Arabidopsis thaliana: one gene and its partners. The protein of the gene in region 2 interacts with the protein of the main gene of each other region in a pairwise test. Each region holds a gene or a part of one and is shown on either strand. Other genes may lie near its edges. The genes, in order: AT2G38330, TRX5, AT3G52640 and PTR5.

Region 1 (5,282 bases), on a different chromosome or scaffold from region 2:
GGTTTGGGGGAAATGGGTTGCTGAGATACGTGAACCAGTGAGTCACCGTGGTGCAAACTCTAGTCGTAGTAAACGGCTTTGGCTTGGCACGTTTGCTACTGCAGCTGAAGCTGCTTTGGCTTACGACAGAGCTGCTAGTGTCATGTACGGACCCTATGCCAGGTTAAATTTCCCGGAAGATTTGGGTGGGGGAAGGAAGAAGGACGAGGAGGCGGAAAGTTCGGGAGGCTATTGGTTGGAAACTAACAAAGCCGGTAATGGCGTGATTGAAACGGAAGGTGGAAAAGACTATGTAGTCTACAATGAAGACGCTATTGAGCTTGGCCATGACAAGACTCAGAATCCTATGACTGATAATGAAATAGTGAACCCAGCAGTGAAATCAGAGGAAGGTTACAGCTATGATCGATTCAAATTGGATAACGGATTGTTGTATAATGAACCTCAAAGCTCCAGTTATCACCAGGGAGGTGGATTCGATTCATATTTTGAGTATTTCAGATTCTAGCTTAGGATTTATGCTGCATCAATATACTATGACTATGAGACTATGTTTTTTACATTGTTAGTTTACTCCATTTTCATTTATCTTAACTTAAGAGTCACGCATCATACCGCAAAAAACAGTGATCCGCTTCATTCTGGCTTCTCTGGAGCAGACCATAGCATTTTCCATGGACCGGTTCTTGTCCCCAATCTGAAACATGACGCAGTATCCTTTTAAGAAAAATTTCGGATGGGTTGAAAACTTGAAACTAGAACGGTCTTTTTAATTAATTGTTTACCTCCAGGCTCCAGCAACCAACCGCAACGCCATGAAGAGGAACAAACCAGTCCAGATCCCGGCAAGGCCAAACGTTGGTGCAGCCACAAGCATGAACAAGGAAGATATGAATCCGACAATCACCTGTTCCAAAATGAGAAATAATCAACTTTTTCCAGGTGAAGAAAAGGGAGAATCAAACGACCAATTGATGAAGAAGGAAAAGGGACCATAGAATAAGCGGCAAATCCGAAGTCAGAGACACCATAATAGAGCCCATCCAAAACAAACGCTAGAGCATTCACCGGTTGAGATCCAGCCACAAACTGCATCCAGCCAACATTATTTAGATATTGTCTGAGACTACCCTTTTCAAACTCTTTCTGGATTAAAAGATAAGATCTTACTAAGGTCCCTGACAAAGCAATCTTTAAAACTTCTGAATCCGTTGTGAATAAGCTTGAAAATGGTTCGAAAGTGATGAACAATACAGCAGCCAAACCAGTTCCAGTTGCTAAACCTACCTACTTAAAAGATTGCAATTGTACATTATAACATCGAATATATAGGGTAGGATATAAACTAGGGATGTAATGAATTATGAATACGAACTTGAAGGACTCCGAAGAGAACTTCCCGGGCTTGTTTGTATTCTCCTTGAGAGTAAGTGGTGGCAAGAAGACTCTGAAAATAGAGGTAGAAAATATAAGTGAAAATCTTCTCCCCAAAAGGTAATCTTGGATCATGCTAATGGGATTCTTATATCACAGTAAATCTTGGTAGAGATTGTCTGTTTCGAAGATGATTTGCAAAAGATATTAGACCTGTGCAGCAATGGCTAAAGCATCGGTGAGTAAAGAGACAGCCAACCAGATTTCCAAGACGATTTGATGGCCAGCCATTTGAGTGGGTCCATTTTGAGCTGCTAACGAAGTAGCTAATGTGAATGGCACAAGCAAAGCCACCGTTCTACCAATGAGAAGCCCACCTAAGCATGAATCAATACATTTCATATAGTAGCCTTTCTGAATCGTTTAAAGAAAACTTGAAAATTTTAAGGAATTACCTGATTTGAGGTACTGGTTGGCTCTTCCCACTTTGATTTGAGGAGAGAGCAAAACTACATTCTCATTCAACTTCCATAGAAGAATAAATGCAATCAAGTATCTGAAGAAACGTTGACAAGTGAGAAACATAAGAAGCCACAAATTAAGATAGATATGCTTTACTAGAAAACGAGTCTATTACCACATTTTTGGACATACTCAGAAATCACAGTAGCAGCCGCAGCACCAGAGATACCAAAACCAAGGACAAATATCAGGATTGGATCCAATACCGCATTAAGTACATTCCCCGCAACTGTTGATATAGAGTTCACCATATTAGAAACATGTATGTGAAACTGCTAATGCATATATACGGTCTAGTGAGCTAATGCGCATATACTATTTATTTCCTCAGATCCATTCATGCATAAATACAAAAAAAATAGATGATTGTGCAATACTTGCCAACGGCATATAGAGGCGTTGTTGTGTCCTTGAAACCTCGAAAAGCTCCTTGCGCAGCCAATGCAACAACAATTGGTGGTGCACCATACGCTCGAAGTCTGAGGAACTGCTCTGCTGGTATCCGCATTGGTGAATCCTAAAAAAATTACAAACCGAGAAAGAAGAGCGATCAGCTATACAAAACTTCAAAGATAACAGCTTATATAAAAGAAGTTCAACGTGAGCTTAGAGACATTACAAAAGGTATAGCCATGACATCCATCAAGAAATCAGACCCGAGAGATAGCGCAATGGCCTCTGCAATACCAACTCCAGCAGCAAGAACTAATGAAGTTGAAACCGAAGGCAGCACTTTCTTGCCTTTAACACCAACAAATAAACAACAGATTCAAAGTAAAGAAACAATCTTTGAAGAAAACAATAAAAACATTTTTCATTATAAGCTTTAAGGAAAGTAAAATACTTGTTTCTATAGAATCATTATCATCCTTAGCAGCAATTGCTTGCTCCTCCGCAACAAACGATGTTGTGACATTTAGTAAAGGAACATTGAAGAGCTTCGACACCAAATTGAATACAGAAACTGACACTCCTACTGCAGCTAATTCCGCAGAACCTGTCACATTACACATATGAATGTTAAAAATGTGAACTTTCGAAAAATGTGAAATTGTTGAAACCAAGCAAAAAGTAAGTATTTACCAATATGGCCAACGAAGGCAGTGTCGACAAGAGATGTTATAGGATCAGCAGCTAAAGCTAATGCAGCAGGTAATGCAATTGACATTATCTCCATTCCAATTTTACCAATCCTAAACCCAAAAAAATCAAATACATTAGAAACCATTCAAAGTTGAATACAGAAGAAGCATTATTAGGCTAAGGTACGAACCCAGGATCCGGTTTGTGATCATGATCCGGTTTATTCTGTGAAGTCAGAGGATTCTGCTGCTTTTCCGGTCGCTGAGAAGAAGTGGAGACGGCTGGAGATTCATCGCGAGGAGATGATTTACAGACGATTGTTCTTCGAATGGATGAATTAGGGTTTCCAAAACGTGACGGCGATCGATGGGGAGAGAAACAGAAGGAGGTAGCGACCGCCGCCATTGCGGAGAACGAGAGACGGAGAAAAATCTCGGCGGAGGAGGAAGAAAGAGAGCCACATGTTGATGTTCACTCTTTTTATCTATCTCTACTCACTAACTGATTAAACGGTCACATGTCTAAACTAGCTGTACCTTATGGATGGGCCTTTAATGGGCTTTTTATTGGGCTTTTAAATAGCTTGTTTGTTTGTTACTTTGTTTTTTGTTTTTTTTTCTGCCAATGTTACACTTTGTATCTTTAAGATAGCTTCATCTTTTTTCTTTGTTGTGCCGTGACTCTCATATGTAAGTCATGAGTTTGATTCGTGTATTATCACTCACTTTCTCAATTTAGCAACAACTCAAAAGAAATATCTCTTTCTCCAGTTATCTTGTGACTTGGATTTGCATTTTTTTTATACACTTAAAATTTTGTTTAGTTGTTTTTTGAATGGATCCAAATTTGGATTATAGGTCCGCATATTTTGATTTTTGGGAGTATATTTGAAATCCGCATATCTAGTGTTCAAGAATCTTGATATAGAAAGTTGTAAGATCATTTGATATCCTAAAACTCAGAATTCTTTTTTTGGGTTCAAAAGCAATAACTAGTTCTTAAGAGCATATATTGGGAAAAAATAAAAATAAAGATCAAGGACGTGTTTCATGATTCAGCAGAGTTGGTTTTTGTTTTGTTTTTTGGGTTCAAAAGCAGAGTTGGATTTTAATAGATAAAGAAACATAGAGTACAAGAGTAAGGCATAGAATTGAAGTCAGCCAATTTACATCGAAAATTGGAGCGTTAGTTAAAAGAATTTATTGAGAGAGTTGCGACGCCGTGCAGCATCAGCAGAGCAGCCTCACATGACTTGCGGTCCCAGCAAATTACAGAAGAAGAAGACCTATCCTCTCTCTTTTTGAACAACCTGATTATGCACGTTGAAATACAGTAACACGTCTAACACTAGTATCATATTAAGTAAATAATACTAAATGGACCATATAACTCTTCATTCAACTTTATCAATAATGTAAGTTTGTAAGGTATTAATTAAATACCGGGGTTTACTTCTCCTATGATTATTTTATAACATTAGAATTTTGTAGTAGCATTAGGCTGTATTTTGAAAAGAAAAAACCTTTGTAATAGCATTACTATTTTACTCAGTAGTTAGAAGATGTGTTAGGAACTTGTATATGATTGGTCGGATCGATTACTGATTAAACCTTAAACCGTTGCTCATTGGTCTTTTTTATAACAATTCATAATATAACATATGAAAGAATGAAATACATATAATATATAGCTTGGGAACGCGTTCTCCTAAATTCCATACAACAGTTTGTCACTAAAATACCAAATTAGTAATTCTAAATACCAAATTATCCATTATTGACCAATACTGGTTATCATCCATTCCAAATTTAGATATAGACATACTTAGTGGCACAGGCTGTATACAACAGTTTGTCACTAAAATTCATTGTAAATGGCTACTTTCTCCTAAATTCAATACAACGTTTTACGTTGCAACCTTTGCAAAATATAATGATTTTTACAACGAAAATGAATACTACATATCCCAACGTTTTGACTATATTATAAATCCCAATGTTTGCAGAAAGTCACTGGACTACCAAGACAAACTAAATAGTTATTTAGTTTAAACAAGCGAGATGTATAACTTCTATATACAGAGCAACTATCTTTGGTTAGAACTCCGGACCATAAATATATTCGTACTAAATTGGCAAAGAAACAAACATGCATAGAATTCAAATTAGAAATTAAATTTCCGGTTTCTTGTATTCGATCTCTTTTTCTTGAATGTTACATAAATTCATGCAATTAACATATTAATAAGGTCTCTGAAGAAGAAAGTGAAAACGTAGAAGAAGAATCACCAAGAATATGCGACC
Region 2 (3,746 bases):
GTTATTATCCCCAACCTTCATCCATAAACTCCTACTTTTCTGGTACCAATATTGTTCTTCATCTATATAAGCCTCCTTCAACCGTATTGTTAAATCCGTTATCTCCTCACTTGTTCTCGAATCATCTCTCTGTGCCGCATCTATGAACTCATTTTTAATATGAACTATGAACTCATCTTTTATTGCAGTAGGGAAAACTGATCTATCCTCGTGTGCTATTGATATGGATTATTTTTGTAGTGGATCACTAACCAAGTCCTACCAGCTCTAACCTGCTGTATGCAGTCTGACGCTTGTTCAAGTAGAGTCACTATGTGTCTATGCTAGTCCCATCGACAGGCCTACTCTGACGCGCCTAGAGGGAACGAGCGGCTGGCTTTGGATCTAAAGAGCATAGGGAAATGTTTGAATCTACAGGTCAGCTTCATCTTCTCTTGTTTTCTCTGTTTCAGTTCTTGTTCAAGGATAAAAACAGAGAAACGTTGGATAAAACTTCAAGGAACTTAAAGAGATATAGACGTGACGTAGATGGAGAAATATGAGCTGTTGAAAGTGATTTTTCCATAGTATTACATAACATTTTCACACATTTATAGTGGAAATCAGAGAACTAATCACTGCTCTGTTCATAACTACATATTTTCAACCTACGCTCTCTTATCGTGTTTAAAACCAGTCTTAATGTGTGTCGCTATTTTCGTGTTCGTGGTTGAAGCCAAGAGATAACAAACCAGTAATCGAAAAATCAACATAGTTATAATACAAATGTGCAGTAGCAATGCATCACTTTTATTTCATACGAAAGATAAAAACTTTATTATGATGCAAAGAGTTAGAAACTGAAATCAATCAAGCAGAAGCTACAAGACCACCATGCTTCATCAGCTTCTCATTGATCTCATCTTTCGCAGCACCGACAACACGATCAATGATGTTGCCTTCTTTCATGAAAACAAAAGTAGGCATTGCCTCAACTTTGAATTCCTGAGCAACAGCTTGCAATTCATCAACATCGATCTTGAAGAAGACAACATTAGTGAACTTCTTAGCCATCTCTGCAAACACTGGTGCAATGAAACGGCAAGGTGGACACCATGATGCTGTGAAGTCTATCACAATCTGGTTTCAATCAAAATTTCAGAACAAATCAGAACACAAACATCATTCACCACTAAACTAACTAATCAAGAAAACCCTAAACCATAACGTAATCAAATCAAATTGAAAAAAAGCCCTGGACATAACAAGAGAAAGTAAAGTTTCTATAATTTCAGACCATATCAGGATACAATTATCATTCACCACTAAGGTAGCTAATCAAGACGAACCGTAATCCCTAAGTAAAGTAATCAAATCAAATTGAACAAAACCCTAGACAGGACAAGAGAAAGTTCTAGCTTCTATCAATTTGGGACCACCAGAGCAAGATATGGGACAAGAACGGGATCAAAAGCAACCGTTTCTCGAACATCATTCACCATTAAGCTAACTAACCAAGAAAGCCCTAAACCCTAAGTAACGTAACCAACTCAAATTAAAAAACAAAAAAAACCCTAGACAGGACGAGAAAATACCAGTTTCTATCAAATTTCAGACCAAATCAAGACATGGTACATGAACATGATAAAAACCAAGGTTTTGTATCTAACATGAATTACCAGTTTACCACTAGATCAAGAAAACTGAAAACCCTAAGTAAAGTAATCAAATCAAATAGAAGAAGAAACCCTAGAGAGGAGAAGAAGAGAAAAGTACCAGTTTCTTGGATTCATTGGCGTCTTTGACCTTCTCGTTCCAAACTTCGAGGGTATGGCAAGCAATCACTTCTCCTTCACCGGCCATTTTTATTATTTGTTCTTAAGCTTTTAAGAGTTTTGTTTGATTGATGAGTTTTTTTTGGTGAATGAAAGAATTATTCTTGTTGGGATCAGCTTTTATAGGCAAGACTTGACCACCTATACCTCTACCTCTTCTCGGTCTTTTTTTTTAATTATTTTCCTAAAATGAGTTCGATCTTGACGCGTAGGAGTGTGAAGGGATCCAACGGTTTATATTAAACGATTAAAGAATAGGCATGAGTCTAGGTCAACGGCGTGATGATGGTAACGAGTAACGACAGTTCTAGATGTAGAAGACACGCATGTTTTGTGTGCACGATATATGAGTTTATCCGTTCTTTTCTCGTCCTTGCAGATATAAAAAAGTAACGTTTGTTTTTGTCGGCACGAATATAAGTTTTTTTCTATGTGATAATTTGTGGACTATTCCGAGCTTTTAGACGTGCAAAGTTGAATGGAAACTTTATCTAAGACAATAAGAAAAATATTATCTATAATATGCTAGATTTATGTTTTGAATAATAATGCAAGCTGTTTTTGATCAATCTTCTTTATTCCTCTAATAAATCAAATTCTAGTAATGTTCTTTCACTAATGATAGAACCGAGAGCTGGCTGTATGTGTGTTTACGCTTTGACACTAATTTTATTCTCAAACGACGTCGTTTTAGACTGATTAACAGTCACTAACGGATAATAACGGGTTTCTAGGTTCTATTAATTACTGATAAAAACATGTCTATTTTGGTCAGGTCAACGAATTGTTCATATCTTAAATGGTAGTCAACGTTTAGTTCATGTTTTAAATGGCCAAGTTGATGTTTAAAATGACCACAATTTAAAACTTGACTAATAAAGTCGTTAACAGATGATAACAGACGTTAGAAGTTCCGTTAATAACTGATAACATCATGTCTATTTTGGCCTGGTCGACGAATGATCATGTTTTAAAAGTTAGTCAACGTTTAGTTCATGTTTTAAACGACCGCATACGAAGTTGACGAATAAAATGGCCATTTTTTGAAAGTTGGGGATTAAATAACATTTTTTCCTAATTTTTAGTCAGTGTAGGTTTTATATCCTTTTTTGTTGGATGATTATGTCTTGTGCCCTTCCATTCATACGTGACTATGATGAATGATATCAACCTAGCACCACATAAAATGAGCTTTTTCAGATACAGTATTTCCCAACAAATTAAAGAATCAGAAGTACAAAGCAAATCTATCTATTTTATTATTTTCATACTAATTAACCTTTTTCACTGGTAATCTAGACATTGTTAGAGTTTTCTTGTTATGTTCTTTTATTATTAACTTAGGGCTAACCGAGAGTGTTTATAGATACTAAACGATCTGGTTACTCAAGATGGTCTACATGTGTTGTACACTTCTCCTCGCAATACATCGATCGGTCTATGTTCCAAAGTGTAGCGCTCCGGCCCCGTGTACACCCCTGTCTTCTCCAATAGCCCCATCGCTTCCTCTCTTCCGTATTTTGACTCATACAGCTTCAAGTACTCATAATCCTGATTCATTCTCCAAATAAGCCAACTGGAACAGTTTTTCGTTGTTATCTGATTGGTAAAACTATAAAGTTGACGTACCTGTAAGCCACTAAGAAGGCGCTCTAGCCTAAGTGAAGCAACTGGCTCTGAAGAAGATGAGAAAACTTCACCGGGGTAGTAAAGAACTCCATCACCAGGAGGAAGACCGCGCCTAAACTTTACCTATTCATTTGGTTATATAATATCATGAAGCAATCGATCAAGAAACATTTACAACAGAACTAAGGATAAGAAAATAACCTCGGCGCTTGGAACCGTTGCCTTCTCATAGCAATTTGCACCCCAGTACAAGAACCCGGTTCCACCTTCTTTCCACACACGCCACATCACTGCCCGTTGCTG
Region 3 (7,893 bases), on a different chromosome or scaffold from region 2:
ACAAAGAGAGAAGAGGGCGATGAAATGCTCAACAGGTGAAACAAAAAAAGATAAGAAACGAAATGACCCCTGAGAGCGGATAAAAACCATGATATCATAGGCCTTGGTTAGATGCAAAGAAGGTTAAAATATTCATGGCAACAAGAAAGATAAGAAGGGCTAAAGTCAAAATAGTATCTTTGCTTAGAAAACTCCAGCTCCATGTTAGAATCTCCCACAACAGACATTGTTCAGAATTTGCAAGTGATATTTTTTATGCTGCCAATCTAACCTGTTAAGAGAATCCTCAGCTTATAACTACAATTCTATTTGATTATTTCACACAAATTGACCACAATGATAGATACAACCAAGAACAACCCAATACACATACAAAGCTATAACTCAGAGAAATGTCAATCAAAGGCGTGTTTAAGCTAACTTAGCAATCATTGGAACAAAAATGAGAGAAAGATTCAGTTTTTAATTAAGATAAGAAGAGTTACACAAATCCCAATTTTGGATCCCCAACCAAAAAAAAAGATTCACGAAAGGAAACGAAGAGAGGCGCAATGAGATGAAAGAAGAAAGAGCGAGAAAGTACCTGAGAGAGCTGCCGGAAGAAAACCCTAATTTTGAGAATTACGGAGAGGATGAAGAAGTGTCTATCTTCGCGCACCTCAGGTGTTGAAAAATATGTATATGTGTATGTTGTATTGATATGACCTAAAAGATGCCTAAGCGAGACTATCAAGGAGGTGTAGTCACTTTTTATTATGATGCGACCAATCTTATATTACGGCTTATTACCGATCTTAATATACGACAAATTTGATTTTTATGCAAAAAAAACTTTCAAGTTGGATGAGAATTTGCGCCTTATATTTTTTTTACACATTGTTTTCAAAATTAACACTAGTTTTTTCTTAATTAACATGCAGTTTATACATGATCTACGTTATTTGTTAAAATCACATATGGAATAATTTCTTTAAAATTATAGTTTTACCATATACAATATGTTTTTTTTTTTATCAATTTTTAGCCAAAACTTGCCTATATAATCTAGCAAATAATACCCTAATCAATCATAATTAGTCTACGATTTTGTAAAAATGAAGCCATAAAATGTAATACAAATTTCTTACAAAAAAAAAAAGAAAATGTGGAATGAAAATATTTTTTCTTTTTGTATAAACAACTAGATTATAACCCGCGGTACACCGCGGAGACAATTATTTTTTAAAATTAGTATATATAAAAGTCTGTAAATTATATTTATCTATAAAATATTTATATTTTATAGTTTACAATTGTTATTAAGTAACATCCTTCCAAACCCGTTCTGCCAAACCCGTCCCGTTAAAAAAATTTGTAGTACACCGCTAATTTAAAAAAAAAAATTACGGGATTGCAATTATATTTTAGTTTGTCAAACAAATTTTTGTTTTAAATAGTTGTCGAAATCTAATTCAAATTTTGGAGAAATAAGATTTAGTGAACTGATAAGAAATGTATTTATGTGCGTTTTGCTCATTTTAAGGGATTGCAATTGTATTTTGGTTTGTCAAATATTTTTTGTTTTAAATAATTTCCGAAATCTAGTTCAAATTTTGGAGAAATCTGCGTGATATATGGGATTGGAATATATTTGGAATATTTTTTGTTTGTTAATCAATTTATTGCTAAAAGAAAATAAATAAATAAAAGCCAGTGGCAGCCATTGTAAATAAGTTCCAAATCTAGGATTTATTTTACAAAATGGCTGCAAAAATATATATATAGATAGGTTCACTTAATTACTTTTAATATAATAAAATCCGCACAAAATGTGAATACCTCAATTTTTCTATATCTTGGGAATTTTGAAAGACATAAGAATCAACACGAAAAATCTCAGTCTTTGACTCAGACTCCCACCGCGTAATTCCGAGCTAGGTTTCCATTTCTCCGGCGAATCGGACCTCTCTCTCGCTCTCTCTTCCAATTTCCCCTTTTTTCGTTTCCCAGGTACTGCTTCTTCCGATTCTAACATTTTTTGATCTTTTATAAAATCGGTCACATTATTCTTGATCGTATCTGCAGCGATGATTTGCAAGTAGCTTCCGCTAATAATCGCAACTCTCTGACGGATGCTATGGCAATGGGACTTATTCGTCTTCTTTCTATAGCTTTTACACTTGTTCTACTTTCAATCCTTCCTCTTCATCTCTCTCTCGCTGGTGAGTTTCCTTTCCCCGGATAAAATTGGTGATGAAATGTATTAGTTGATAGAACATTGTAATCTGAAATTGAGGTTTCGTTTTGTGTAGATGAGATAACATCTATTGAATCTGTACCTGACCTTCAGAAGCTAATGTATGTTGCTGTTGATGGGTTTCCTTGTGTACGTCTTCTCAATCTGTCTGGAGAGATTGGATGTTCAAGTAAGCTTCTTTTGGGCCTCTCAGCTACATGATTTTTATCTGTTGATGAGGTCCTCTAAGTTTTATGTTTATAAAAATACTCAGATCCTGGAATAAATAAAGTGGTGGCTCCAATCATAAAATTAAAGGACGTTAAAGATTTGGTTCAGCCACACACTATTTTGGTTACAGCTGATGAAATGGAAGATTTCTTTACCAGGCATGTCTCCTTTTTCATTTACAAAACTTTCATGACCTCTATTCGATTTTGTTAGTGATCTCTTAATTTGTGGAGTAGTGCTTTCCCACTCGCTTGTAGTTCTCATTTTGGTGTTTTATTTAACGTCAAACAAGATTTAGCTTTTGGGTGCCAAATCAGCCTTTTTGGAAAGGCAATTACATCCTTAAGAATAACGTATATCTAAGAGTTTGTTTTCATTAGTACTTGAGTATTTAAGGCAAACACTTTTAGTAATCTTCCATGACAGTGAAACAACAGATTGGAATGAGTATACCCTCTTATCACCATTTTTGAAATCTGCTAGAAATGTAGTCACTTGGTTGTTGGTGCATGGATTAGGTGTTTAGTGGAACCAGTAATTCATTGGCTTTTTCCGCTTTATTTTCATTCGACTAACGGAAAGTAGGTATACCTCCAAACACTTTACTGTAGAACCCTGCAGTCTGGCTTACTTCTGGCATTGTTCATTAGACTTGTACATCGCTTAGACACTCTATTCAGTAGAAATAACAGGACCACTCCTCTTTGTGCCTTTTCCAGGGTGTCAACTGATTTGAGCTTTGCTAGCAAAATTGGTGGTGTTCTAGTTGAATCAGGATCTAATTTCCAACAAAAGTTAAAAGGTACTATGTCCATCCACATATTTATGATTCTGTCAACTTGAATGGCTAATTCCTTAAATTGTCTTGAGTTCTTAATTCCCTTAAAAATAGTACTTGATACTTCTTATCTATGTTGATGGCGTTAGTGTTTCTTTCTTCTTTATTGTAGGGTTTTCTCCTGATAAAAGGTTTCCTCAAGCCCAGTTTTCACCCTATGAAAACGTTGAGTACAAATGGAATTCAGCTGTACGGTAGCGTAAACTCTGTCTGGATCTTTGAAATTACTTCTTCCTGTCAACTCTTTTATAGTGGGTTGGAAATTGTTTCAATCAGTTATCACCAAATCCATAGTCAAGCATTTCCGAGTTATATGCTGTTTTCTTCTGGAACTAAACTTAACTACCTGCTAACACACAAATACCATAAATCCTTTTCTTATGGTATAATTTTACTGGAGGAATGCATGTATCTGCCTAGATGATCACTTATAAAGAAGTTCAAAAATCTGTTGCATATTTATCTACCTTAATTAAAAGATAGTTCCTCTTATTGTTATCTACGGAGAAAAAATGATTTTGATTCTTATGAGTAGTTGCAGGCGATAAGTCTCTAGCCATTGACCATTGCTAAAAAATGATTATTTGCAGGCATCAAGCATCATGTGGAGAAATTATAATTTTCCTGTGTACTTATTGTCAGAAAGTGGCATATCAGCTGTGCATGAGGTAATCCTTCAAACTTGCATTCTTTTGCAAATTTTAAATGTGTCTATTTGTGTTGTCAGAAAAGCGAAATTGATGACATTTTTAGAAATATGAGGAAATGAACTCAAGGCTTAGAGAGGCATTATGACTGTTGGTCACTCTTAAGAGCAGTATTGCTTGATGAAAATATGGCTGTAAAATGATGCATGAGATATGTATCTCCAAGGTCATATGAAATGAATACTCCTAGTTTAAACTGAATTAGTCTGCAGAAATTTTTCTAAGCATTGATTACCCATTTTAAATAAGAATACAAATTTGGTCCTGGAATGTTTGTCTCATCCAGCTGAAGGCAACTCCCAGCTGCATCTGTAGATTTCAAATGCATGTTGCTTTCCATAGCCTGTAATTGGACTCAACCATAGCCTTTCCATTTGTCTTGTGGTAGTTGCCTTTAAACTGCTGGTCAACTATGTCATTCTATAGTATGTTGTTGTCCTTACCAGATGAGGTTCTGTCAAGAAGCTAGCTTTATGTTTCTGTTGTGTTGGTAGCAATCTAAAGTGTATAGTTTATGTGGATAGCTTCACTTTTTTCAGGTTATCGACTACATATTTACATCCTATTATATTTGCGCAGATCCTTTCCAAGAAAAAGATGAAGCATGGAACATATACCAGTGATGTTGCTGAATTCAATATGGTTATGGAGGTATATGGCTTTAGCAATCTTGCTCACTGGAACGTTAACCAGCTTTATGGATCTTCACTTTGACTTAGATTATGACACCCAATTCTCTATTTTTTGTATTAGACTACCAAAGCTGGAACACACAATTCGGAGGCTTGTTTGCAGGAGGGAACTTGCCTCCCATTGGGCGGATATAGGTAAAGATTTAGGTCTTTATTACTGTCTGATCTAATGACATATGAAAACCTTTTAAAGGATACGTTTCGTTTTCTAACAACTTTGTTATGAAGGACAGTGTTTGGTCCTCGCTTCCACCAATCAGTGTTTCGTCTTCCAACAATCGCAAACCAGTTGTGCTGACTGTGGCCTCCATGGATACTGCATCATTTTTCCGTGACAAAAGTTTTGGTGCAGATTCACCAATATCTGTGAGAACTTGCTATTTTCTGCTTTTGGGTTGATCTAGAATACATTTATTTACTCTTCTTATTCTTCTTTTCCCGATTTATTGCTCAACACGTTCTCCTTCTTTCAGGGTCTGGTAGCTCTTCTAGGAGCAGTTGATGCTCTTTCTCGAGTTGATGGTATTAGTAATCTCAAAAAACAGGTGCCAGTGTACCATGTGATTTAGTGTTATTTCACGCTTTTTGTTGTTTGCAAGCTTTAATACATGTAAATCGTAAATGAATGCAGCTTGTGTTTTTGGTTCTGACCGGAGAGACATGGGGTTACCTTGGCAGCAGGAGGTTCTTACACGAATTAGATCTGCATTCAGATGCTGTCGCAGGCCTTAGCAATACTTCGATTGAAACGGTAATCATTATTGTTTTGGTCTGACAAAGTTGATAGAGACAGCTAGCCTTATGCATGAAATCCCTGTGGAAAAAGTTGCCTGTGTTTCATCGTTGCTGCAACTTATTTGTTTCTTAGTAGCGCAGAAAGCAAGTTTAAGTGTTCCTTGTGAAATTGAATGTTCACAATTTTCTAAATCTAAAGATCGAATTCAGATTGCTTCTTCTATTATCTAACAGGTGCTTGAAATAGGATCTGTTGGAAAAGGTTTAAGTGGAGGGATAAACACCTTCTTTGCTCATAAAACAAGGGTGAGAAATTCCTGATATCCTGAAACTCTTGCATAATTCGAATTCGTTCGATAATGTGAAAACTGTCATAGGCGACTTAACCTCCACTTTTGGTGTTCTGCTTTAGGTTTCTTCAGTTACAAACATGACACTGGATGCTTTAAAGATAGCTCAGGATTCACTTGCATCAAAAAACATCAAAATTCTTTCAGCAGATACTGCAAACCCTGGAATACCCCCATCCTCCTTGATGGCTTTCATGAGAAAGGTACAATATATATTCCAAGTAAATAGATGGGAAGACAATTCAAATGTGTATTCGCACTATACTCTTTGCATATACTTCACCTTCAGTTGATCATGAATATGACAGGAGAAGTATACTTGCTTACTATTATGTGATTCTGAACCAGATTGCCTAGAGTGAAAAAGGTATAACATCATATTCATTGTTGCAGAACCCTCAGACTTCAGCTGTTGTACTTGAAGACTTTGATACCAACTTTGTGAATAAGTTCTACCATAGTCACCTCGATGACTTGTGTAAGAAGAGTCACAGCCTGTCTTTCTCTTCTTTTCGCTCCAAACCCCATTTTGCACTTTTGATTCCTTTCTGGTGTTGTATTGCAGCAAATATCAACTCCTCGTCTGTAGTAGCTGCTGCTTCTGTTGTGGCCCGAACACTTTACATCCTAGCAAGTGACAACAAAGATACAAGCAATTCAGCTCTGGGATCCATCCATGTCAATGCTTCTTTCGTTGAAGAGCTTCTAACCTGTCTTTTAGCTTGTGAACCGGGCTTATCTTGCAACTTGGTAAAAGACTATATTTCACCGACAAACACTTGTCCAGGCAACTATGCTGGCGTCATCCTCGGAGAACCTTCCTCCAAACCTTACCTTGGTTACGTCGGTGATGTTTCTAGATTCCTATGGAACTTTCTGGCAGATAAAACATCTGTCCAAAAGGGAAATACAACCTCAGTTTGTTCAAAAGGAGTCTGTAGCAAAACTGACGAAGTGTGCATCAAAGCAGAGAGCAACAAGGAAGGAACATGTGTTGTCTCCACAACCAGGTAAACTCTGTGCTTGGAAATTGCAATTTGGTTTGCATGCTCAAGTTCTCTCTTATGTCTCAAAATGAACCAAAATCTTAAGTCTGGTAGGCATTTTATAGGAATTATTAATTAGGATAGGCTTCAGAAGTGGAGTGTTTTTAGACTTGGGAGAAAGTCTATCTTTAGTTTGTTGACCTTTGAATTGAAGCTATCATCATTTTCTTCTTCCCCTGACCTGATATGTTGTATGTGACCTAACCAATTTGCTGTCTGAGCATAACACATTAAGTTCTGGTTTTGGCAGGTATGTTCCAGCTTATTCAACTCGATTGAAGTATAACGATGGAGCTTGGACAATTCTACCACAGAACTCATCAGATTCTATGGGGATGGTTGATCCAGTGTGGACCGAAAGCAACTGGGACACTTTAAGGGTGCATGTGTACACAGTCCAGCACTCAGCATACGACAATGCAGTCCTCGTTGCAGGTATTACAGTCACAACGTTGGCTTACATCGGAATTTTGGCTGCTAAGTCAATCATCACAAAAGCCTTGAAGCAGGACTGAGACTTGTATTTAATTCCCTCTCCTCTCGGCTCAAAATTACTTGTCAGTTTCCGTAAGACATTGCCTAACCAGCAACACCACCAATACCTTAGTGGTAGAAACCTTTTTTCTCAACCAAGGTTATTAAAATATGTCTTTGAGCTAATTCATGTTAAATTCTTTATTACACTGGCAAGAAATTTATAAGAAAAAAGTTTGCTTTCACAAAATCCTATAGATAAAGCAACAATACAATTCTAAATCCAGAGCAAAATCTTAGCTGCCAAGAAGAAAATAGTGTTTTGTTTTGTGTTTTGGTACCTCAATTAACAAAACAGCAATTTAAGCTTAGTTGTGATAGATTAAGAAGTTGTTACATATACTAAGTAAATAAAATCATAGAACCAGAAAGTGGTGAGACATCAAATACATATAAAGCATAAGCATCTCTACAAAATGTTTTAATGGAATCGCTTCCATGATCATAATCATCATCACAACATTAGATGAACAAGTGCTTGAACTCCCCATTTGCTAGCTTACATAGCTCGTTGTAGTTCTGTGTATCTGCAACCAAAAATAACA
Region 4 (5,021 bases), on a different chromosome or scaffold from region 2:
CATCAAAAATCAAACCGCATTAGTATCATCTTCTCTTAACTTCACCAACTAGCTAAGTCTGAGTTCCAGGCCTTTCTCTGTGTCTGCATTACCAAGCTTGCATAGAGATTGAATCTTTAAGTAGCTTAAACAAACATAACAAATGGTTTTTGAAGTGAGCAGCATAAGCACACACATCGGTCTTGGTGGTTTGAGTAAACATCACTGAGATTTGTTGTTTTACGATGCAATAGCAAATGTAAAAGTAGCTTGACGTATCAAGCCCAAGTGTTAAGTTTCAAACTTGGGTCTATTAATCAAGTTATATGATCTTTGTTGCTACCTTTTTCCCTTTATTTGCTTTTTTCATTCTCTATTCAAAATCAGCCAACCTTTGCTTGTATTTCCATTCTCCACTGTCTCTCTAATCTGATCAATCCTGCAGGTTCTTTGAAAGCTTGCATTCGAGTCTCAGAGCGTTTGATCACGGATTCATCACTACTATTCTAGTTGCAATCAAAGAAATGGTTTCACTAGCGGAATCTCAGCACAACGCTTGTGTTAAATACAAACCCTTGAACTCTGCAACCACAAAGCAATAAGGATAGTCGAATTCAAAAGTAGTATCTTGTAACCTAAACTCAAGCAAAGAACTTCAAACTTGCTTGTTTATGAAAAATAAAAATAATATCTGTAAATATGTTTCAGTAACGAGATTATCAAACATTGCGACTAATTTCAAATCAGAATTCGTGATTGCAGCCATCGTTATGTTTTTTGTATCATCAAAGCGCATGCCCGGTCGTTTTCTTGTAAGTGTACCATTTAGCAATCCAAAGGTAGACCAAGAAATTCAAGAAACTCAGACCAGCTAATAGCCAAAAGAAGTAATCAAGATGACCATTGTTGAGGTTCTTAGCGATCCAGCCTGGTCTTCCACCTGATCTCGTGACTTTAGTGACCAATGTCACCAGAAATGTGCTCAGATAGTTCCCAAATGCAATTGCGGTGAGCGACAAAGCCGAGCAGAGACTCCTCATAGCATCAGGAGCTTGGTCATAGAAGAACTCAAGCTGACCTATAAACGTGAAAACCTCGGCGCAACCCACCAAAAAATACTGCGGAACTTGCCAGAAAATCGTCATCGGGATAGTCTCTTCATTGTAAAGATTGTGTGTTTGAACGTAGTTTAACCTTGCGACCTCGAGGATTCCCGCAGAGACCATAGAAAAGATGGAGATTACAAGCCCGATTCCAATCCGTTGAAGCTGTGTGAATCCGCGTTCGTGACCTGTGTATTTCCGGGCGAAGGGAACAATTAGCTTGTCGTAGACAGGTGCCCAAAACAGGACACTAAGCGTATCGAATAAGGAGAGTGATGCGGAAGGGATTTTGAAGTTAGGTCCCATGTGTTGGTCCAGTGTGTTGCCTTGTAGTACAAACACAGTCCCCATTTGGCTATAAACCGAAGCGAAAACAATCCCTGTGGCCCAAATCGGTAAGAGACGGATCAGTGCTTTGAGCTCTTCTACTTGTGTCACTGTGCATAGCTTCCATGAAGACGACTTAGCTGCTCCTTTGTTGTCACTCTCTGTTTCCACTGCTGCCTTATCAAAGAACCTGAAATGATTTGAAGTGAGCCAAAAGTTAACCTAACAACACAAAATTACAGACCGGACTTGCTTGTGCCTTACGTTAATATTTTGGTGTGTTCGAGCTTGCGGCTTCCTATGATACTGCTTTCGGCGTCTTGGTTCTCGTAGAGAAGAGATTCATCTTCAGGAATTTTCACTTTAGATTTTCTGCATGAAGCCACAATGACTTGCAGCATTCTTGTGAGAGGACTTCCTCCTGGTTTCTGCAGCCTGTAGAAGTTGCTTCCGGCGAAGAAGAACACGACGGCTATAGCCATTGCGACGGTGGGAACACCTAAACCCCAACCCCAACCAACATTCATCTGAATCCAAACGAGAACAGAGGAAGCAATCATTGCACCAACGTTGATCACAAAGTAGAACCAGTTAAAGAAAGAGCTCTTAGACTCTTTCTCTTTTTCGTCTGTATCATCAAACTGATCAGCACCAAAGGAAGAGACACAAGGCTTGATCCCTCCAGTTCCGAGTGCGATCAAGTAAAGCGCTATGAATGTAATAGCGGTTTGACCCGCTGTTGCGTGACAGGTTTCTCCGCTGCAGGTTGGTGTTAGACCAGGAACCGAAGCTGATATCGTCAATAGCGTCATTCCCTAAATTACAGAAACAAAAAAAAAAAGAGCAAACAGTTTCAAGATTCTGTGATTTTCTTTGTTCACGTTGAGAGCAAACAGAGCAAAGAGTAAATTATTACGGCAATGTAGATGACGACAAAGGAAGCGATGGTCCAGTATCGACCGAGATAAGCATCGGCGATAAAAGCACCGATCAAAGGAGTAGCGTAACATGTTCCAGACCAGTTACTGACACTCTTAGAAGCAGAGACGTTTTCCATATTCATTTGTTTCTCGAGATAGTTGATGAGATTAGTACTCATTCCATAGTAAGCTAATCTTTCACAGCACTCAGTTCCTGCCAATTGCTCATAGATACAATCAAATCAAATTCAGAACAAAAAAAAACGATTTGGTTTTTATTACAACAAAAGATTAAAGGTTTGAACAATACCAAGAATGAATCTGCAAGCTTTCCAGGTTCCAGTTTTATTCTTGTTGGCTGGTTTCTTGTGAATGTCAAGAGTTCCATCTTTTGTGTATATATCCTTGTCATCTTCCATTGTTGTTTGGTTTCGACAAGTTTAAGTGTGACCCCTGAGTTTTCAACAATGTGAGAATTTTTGACCTGATTTACTGAGAAAAAGGACAAAAGATGACTTCTTTGCCAAGTAAAATCTACACAACGATATTTCTACGACTAATTATCGGATTTAGACAGATAAGCCTCCATATATATATATGTGTGACTCCACGAAGAAACAGAATTGAAAAACATCGATTTATTTTATGAGCAATAGCCAAAGTAATGTCCATTACATGCATCATGACAAAAACATAACGCGTTTTCTAGACACAAACTGACAAAATCGGAAGCCATACATACATATATAATTTCGTCGAAGAAAGCTACGGATCTGAAAACTCGAAAACACACAATCGCAAATTTCGTTTGAAAATGAAAATAAATCTAAGAACACTCCTCCCGAAAATGTGTGATTACTAGTAACAGAAATTGTTCATAGAATCAAAAAAAAGACAGATCAAAGATAACCAGATTTAATATTTAGAAACGGTTAATCGTTGGTGAAAGATTCGTTTACCTTTTCTCGGGGAAGCGACGACAGAGTTTTGTGCCGGGATTTGAACTACACGGCTGAGGAAGATAAACTTGAGGGCTTGAGCGTTTCGTTTTGCGCCGTGTGATAGATATTTATAAGGAAACACTCTGAATAGTGAAGGTGAATCAGGCAGTTTCGTGATTTTACCAGTTACGTCCTCGCATTTATTATCTTTCTCTTTGTTATTTTGTTGAATTTTGAATAACTTTCTTGAATCTTTGAGAAGATGTGGGGATGCTAAATCCTATTCATAGTAATGTATCATTAAAGATTGTGGTTGTGTAGGTTTGAATCCCTTTCATTTATATGTTAAAGAATCAAAAATTATAACAAAATTACCTAATTCCTAACAAAAAATTGAAATAGTTATGGAAACATATCTTTTTGTTTTTGATCAAAAGGAAACATATCTATAAACGGATAATCAATATTGTGAACAAAAAAAAAACGGATAATTAATACACCAAATAACTTATGGATTCTTTTTGTGATTGTGTCCAGATTCATGGAACGGTTACATGACACATCGATCATAGAATTGAAATTTATTTCAACGACTCAAGAGAATAGCAGATTGAGAATCTCTGTACAACTTTTCTATTTCTACAACTTCTAGTCAAAACAAACCTACCACACAAAAGAAGTGTTAAGTGGTAGAGAAAGATTAACTTTTTTAACCATAAACTCACAAGAGGTTAAACAAACCTACCACGCAAAAGAATTGTTAATATCCTGATTAGTAGAACTAATAAACTTGTTTGAAAACTTAATGCACACGCATTATCTGTGACCTATATATGGAATAAACAAAATGCGTAAACAAGTTGTAATAGATGTTAATATAACCACGAAAAAACAAAAAACAAAAGTTGAGAGACTATAGAACTATGAAAATAAGTTTAATAGTACTTAAGAAAAAAAATTGATATAATTTTCTGTTATGTTTTCTCAGATTGTTTTCTACGATTGATGCTGTGAAGAACTAACTTGTTTCTTATTGATTCATAATGAGGTTACATCACATATATATACATACTTGAGGAGGTTACATGTCTAATGGGCTAGGTTACAAAAGCCCATAACTACTTAAGTATATGACCGACCTAAGTATAGTCTCCATGGGCCGGACCTACGGGCCGGACTGACTGTGGCTTCTCTCCATGGACCGGGCCGACAGGCCGACGGGCCGATGGACCGATGGACTGATGGGCCGACTGGTCGATGGGCCGTCACACCAATGGGCTGACGGACCTATCCTCCAAAGACATGGGCCACGGTTATGGAGTCCATCCAACAAGTGGTTTACAACACTCCCCCTTGGATGACATAACCGTGTAGATGCCAACGGGATCTCAGTAATACGCTAGGGGAATGCTGCCTCATTAAAACCTTACTAGGAAAACCCTTTTCGGGACAAAACCATAGTGAGGAAAAAGAGTACAGCACGCATTACTCCCCCTGAATTGGTCATCTCTATAAGTCCTTAAGCCTCCGCATCCCAACCTGATGCGCGAGCTTCCTCAATGTCGTTGCTGGTAATGCCTTGGTGAATAGATCGGCTGAATTGTCGCTTGAACGTACTTGCACCACCTTAACTTCACCATCCTTCTGTAAGTCATGCGTGAAGAAGAACTTGGGCAGAATGTGCTTCGTCCGATCTCCCTTGATGTATCCTTCCTTGAGCTGAGCAATGCATGCCGCGTTGTCCTCGTATA

The links.
Region 1: the proteins of TRX5 (region 2) and AT2G38330 interact in a protein complementation assay, tested with the Arabidopsis thaliana proteins (one large-scale study listed by BioGRID).
Region 3: the proteins of TRX5 (region 2) and AT3G52640 interact in a protein complementation assay, tested with the Arabidopsis thaliana proteins (one large-scale study listed by BioGRID).
Region 4: the proteins of TRX5 (region 2) and PTR5 interact in a protein complementation assay, tested with the Arabidopsis thaliana proteins (one large-scale study listed by BioGRID).

Annotation. Positions count from the first base shown.
Region 1 is NC_003071.7:16,062,673-16,067,954, reverse strand, and holds AT2G38330 (MATE efflux family protein), read right to left. Parts: upstream 3,453-5,282; 5' UTR 3,385-3,452; coding exon 3,170-3,384; intron 3,090-3,169; coding exon 2,980-3,089; intron 2,894-2,979; coding exon 2,741-2,893; intron 2,638-2,740; coding exon 2,516-2,637; intron 2,414-2,515; coding exon 2,278-2,413; intron 2,126-2,277; coding exon 2,029-2,125; intron 1,931-2,028; coding exon 1,830-1,930; intron 1,752-1,829; coding exon 1,588-1,751; intron 1,448-1,587; coding exon 1,376-1,447; intron 1,288-1,375; coding exon 1,171-1,287; intron 1,090-1,170; coding exon 994-1,089; intron 908-993; coding exon 786-907; intron 698-785; coding exon 637-697; 3' UTR 518-636; downstream 1-517. Other genes in the region: DREB19 (Integrase-type DNA-binding superfamily protein), read left to right, coding at 1-508.
Region 2 is NC_003070.9:17,074,415-17,078,160, forward strand, and holds TRX5 (thioredoxin H-type 5), read right to left. Parts: upstream 2,004-3,746; 5' UTR 1,843-2,003; coding exon 1,756-1,842; intron 1,120-1,755; coding exon 850-1,119; 3' UTR 528-849; downstream 1-527. Other genes in the region: AT1G45150 (alpha-1,6-mannosyl-glycoprotein 2-beta-N-acetylglucosaminyltransferase), read right to left, coding at 3,201-3,365, 3,444-3,566, 3,645-3,746.
Region 3 is NC_003074.8:19,514,514-19,522,406, reverse strand, and holds AT3G52640 (Zn-dependent exopeptidases superfamily protein), read left to right. Parts: upstream 1-1,862; 5' UTR 1,863-1,989; intron 1,990-2,064; 5' UTR 2,065-2,116; coding exon 2,117-2,201; intron 2,202-2,291; coding exon 2,292-2,405; intron 2,406-2,489; coding exon 2,490-2,604; intron 2,605-3,165; coding exon 3,166-3,248; intron 3,249-3,396; coding exon 3,397-3,473; intron 3,474-3,874; coding exon 3,875-3,952; intron 3,953-4,570; coding exon 4,571-4,642; intron 4,643-4,744; coding exon 4,745-4,818; intron 4,819-4,916; coding exon 4,917-5,049; intron 5,050-5,156; coding exon 5,157-5,228; intron 5,229-5,314; coding exon 5,315-5,434; intron 5,435-5,652; coding exon 5,653-5,724; intron 5,725-5,830; coding exon 5,831-5,971; intron 5,972-6,161; coding exon 6,162-6,778; coding exon of another isoform or gene 6,779-6,782; exon of another isoform or gene 6,783-7,064; coding exon 7,065-7,329; 3' UTR 7,330-7,534; downstream 7,535-7,893. Other genes in the region: AT3G52630 (Nucleic acid-binding, OB-fold-like protein), read right to left, coding at 7,811-7,875. UniProt on the Arabidopsis thaliana protein: Probable subunit of the gamma-secretase complex, an endoprotease complex that catalyzes the intramembrane cleavage of integral membrane proteins such as Notch.
Region 4 is NC_003076.8:60,493-65,513, forward strand, and holds PTR5 (peptide transporter 5), read right to left. Parts: upstream 3,445-5,021; 5' UTR 3,289-3,444; intron 2,822-3,288; exon of another isoform or gene 2,783-2,821; 5' UTR 2,749-2,782; coding exon 2,640-2,748; intron 2,544-2,639; coding exon 2,326-2,543; intron 2,225-2,325; coding exon 1,674-2,224; intron 1,600-1,673; coding exon 765-1,599; 3' UTR 525-764; downstream 1-524. UniProt on the Arabidopsis thaliana protein: Peptide transporter. Mediates the transport of di- and tripeptides. High affinity transporter. Involved in the uptake of peptides during pollen germination and tube growth.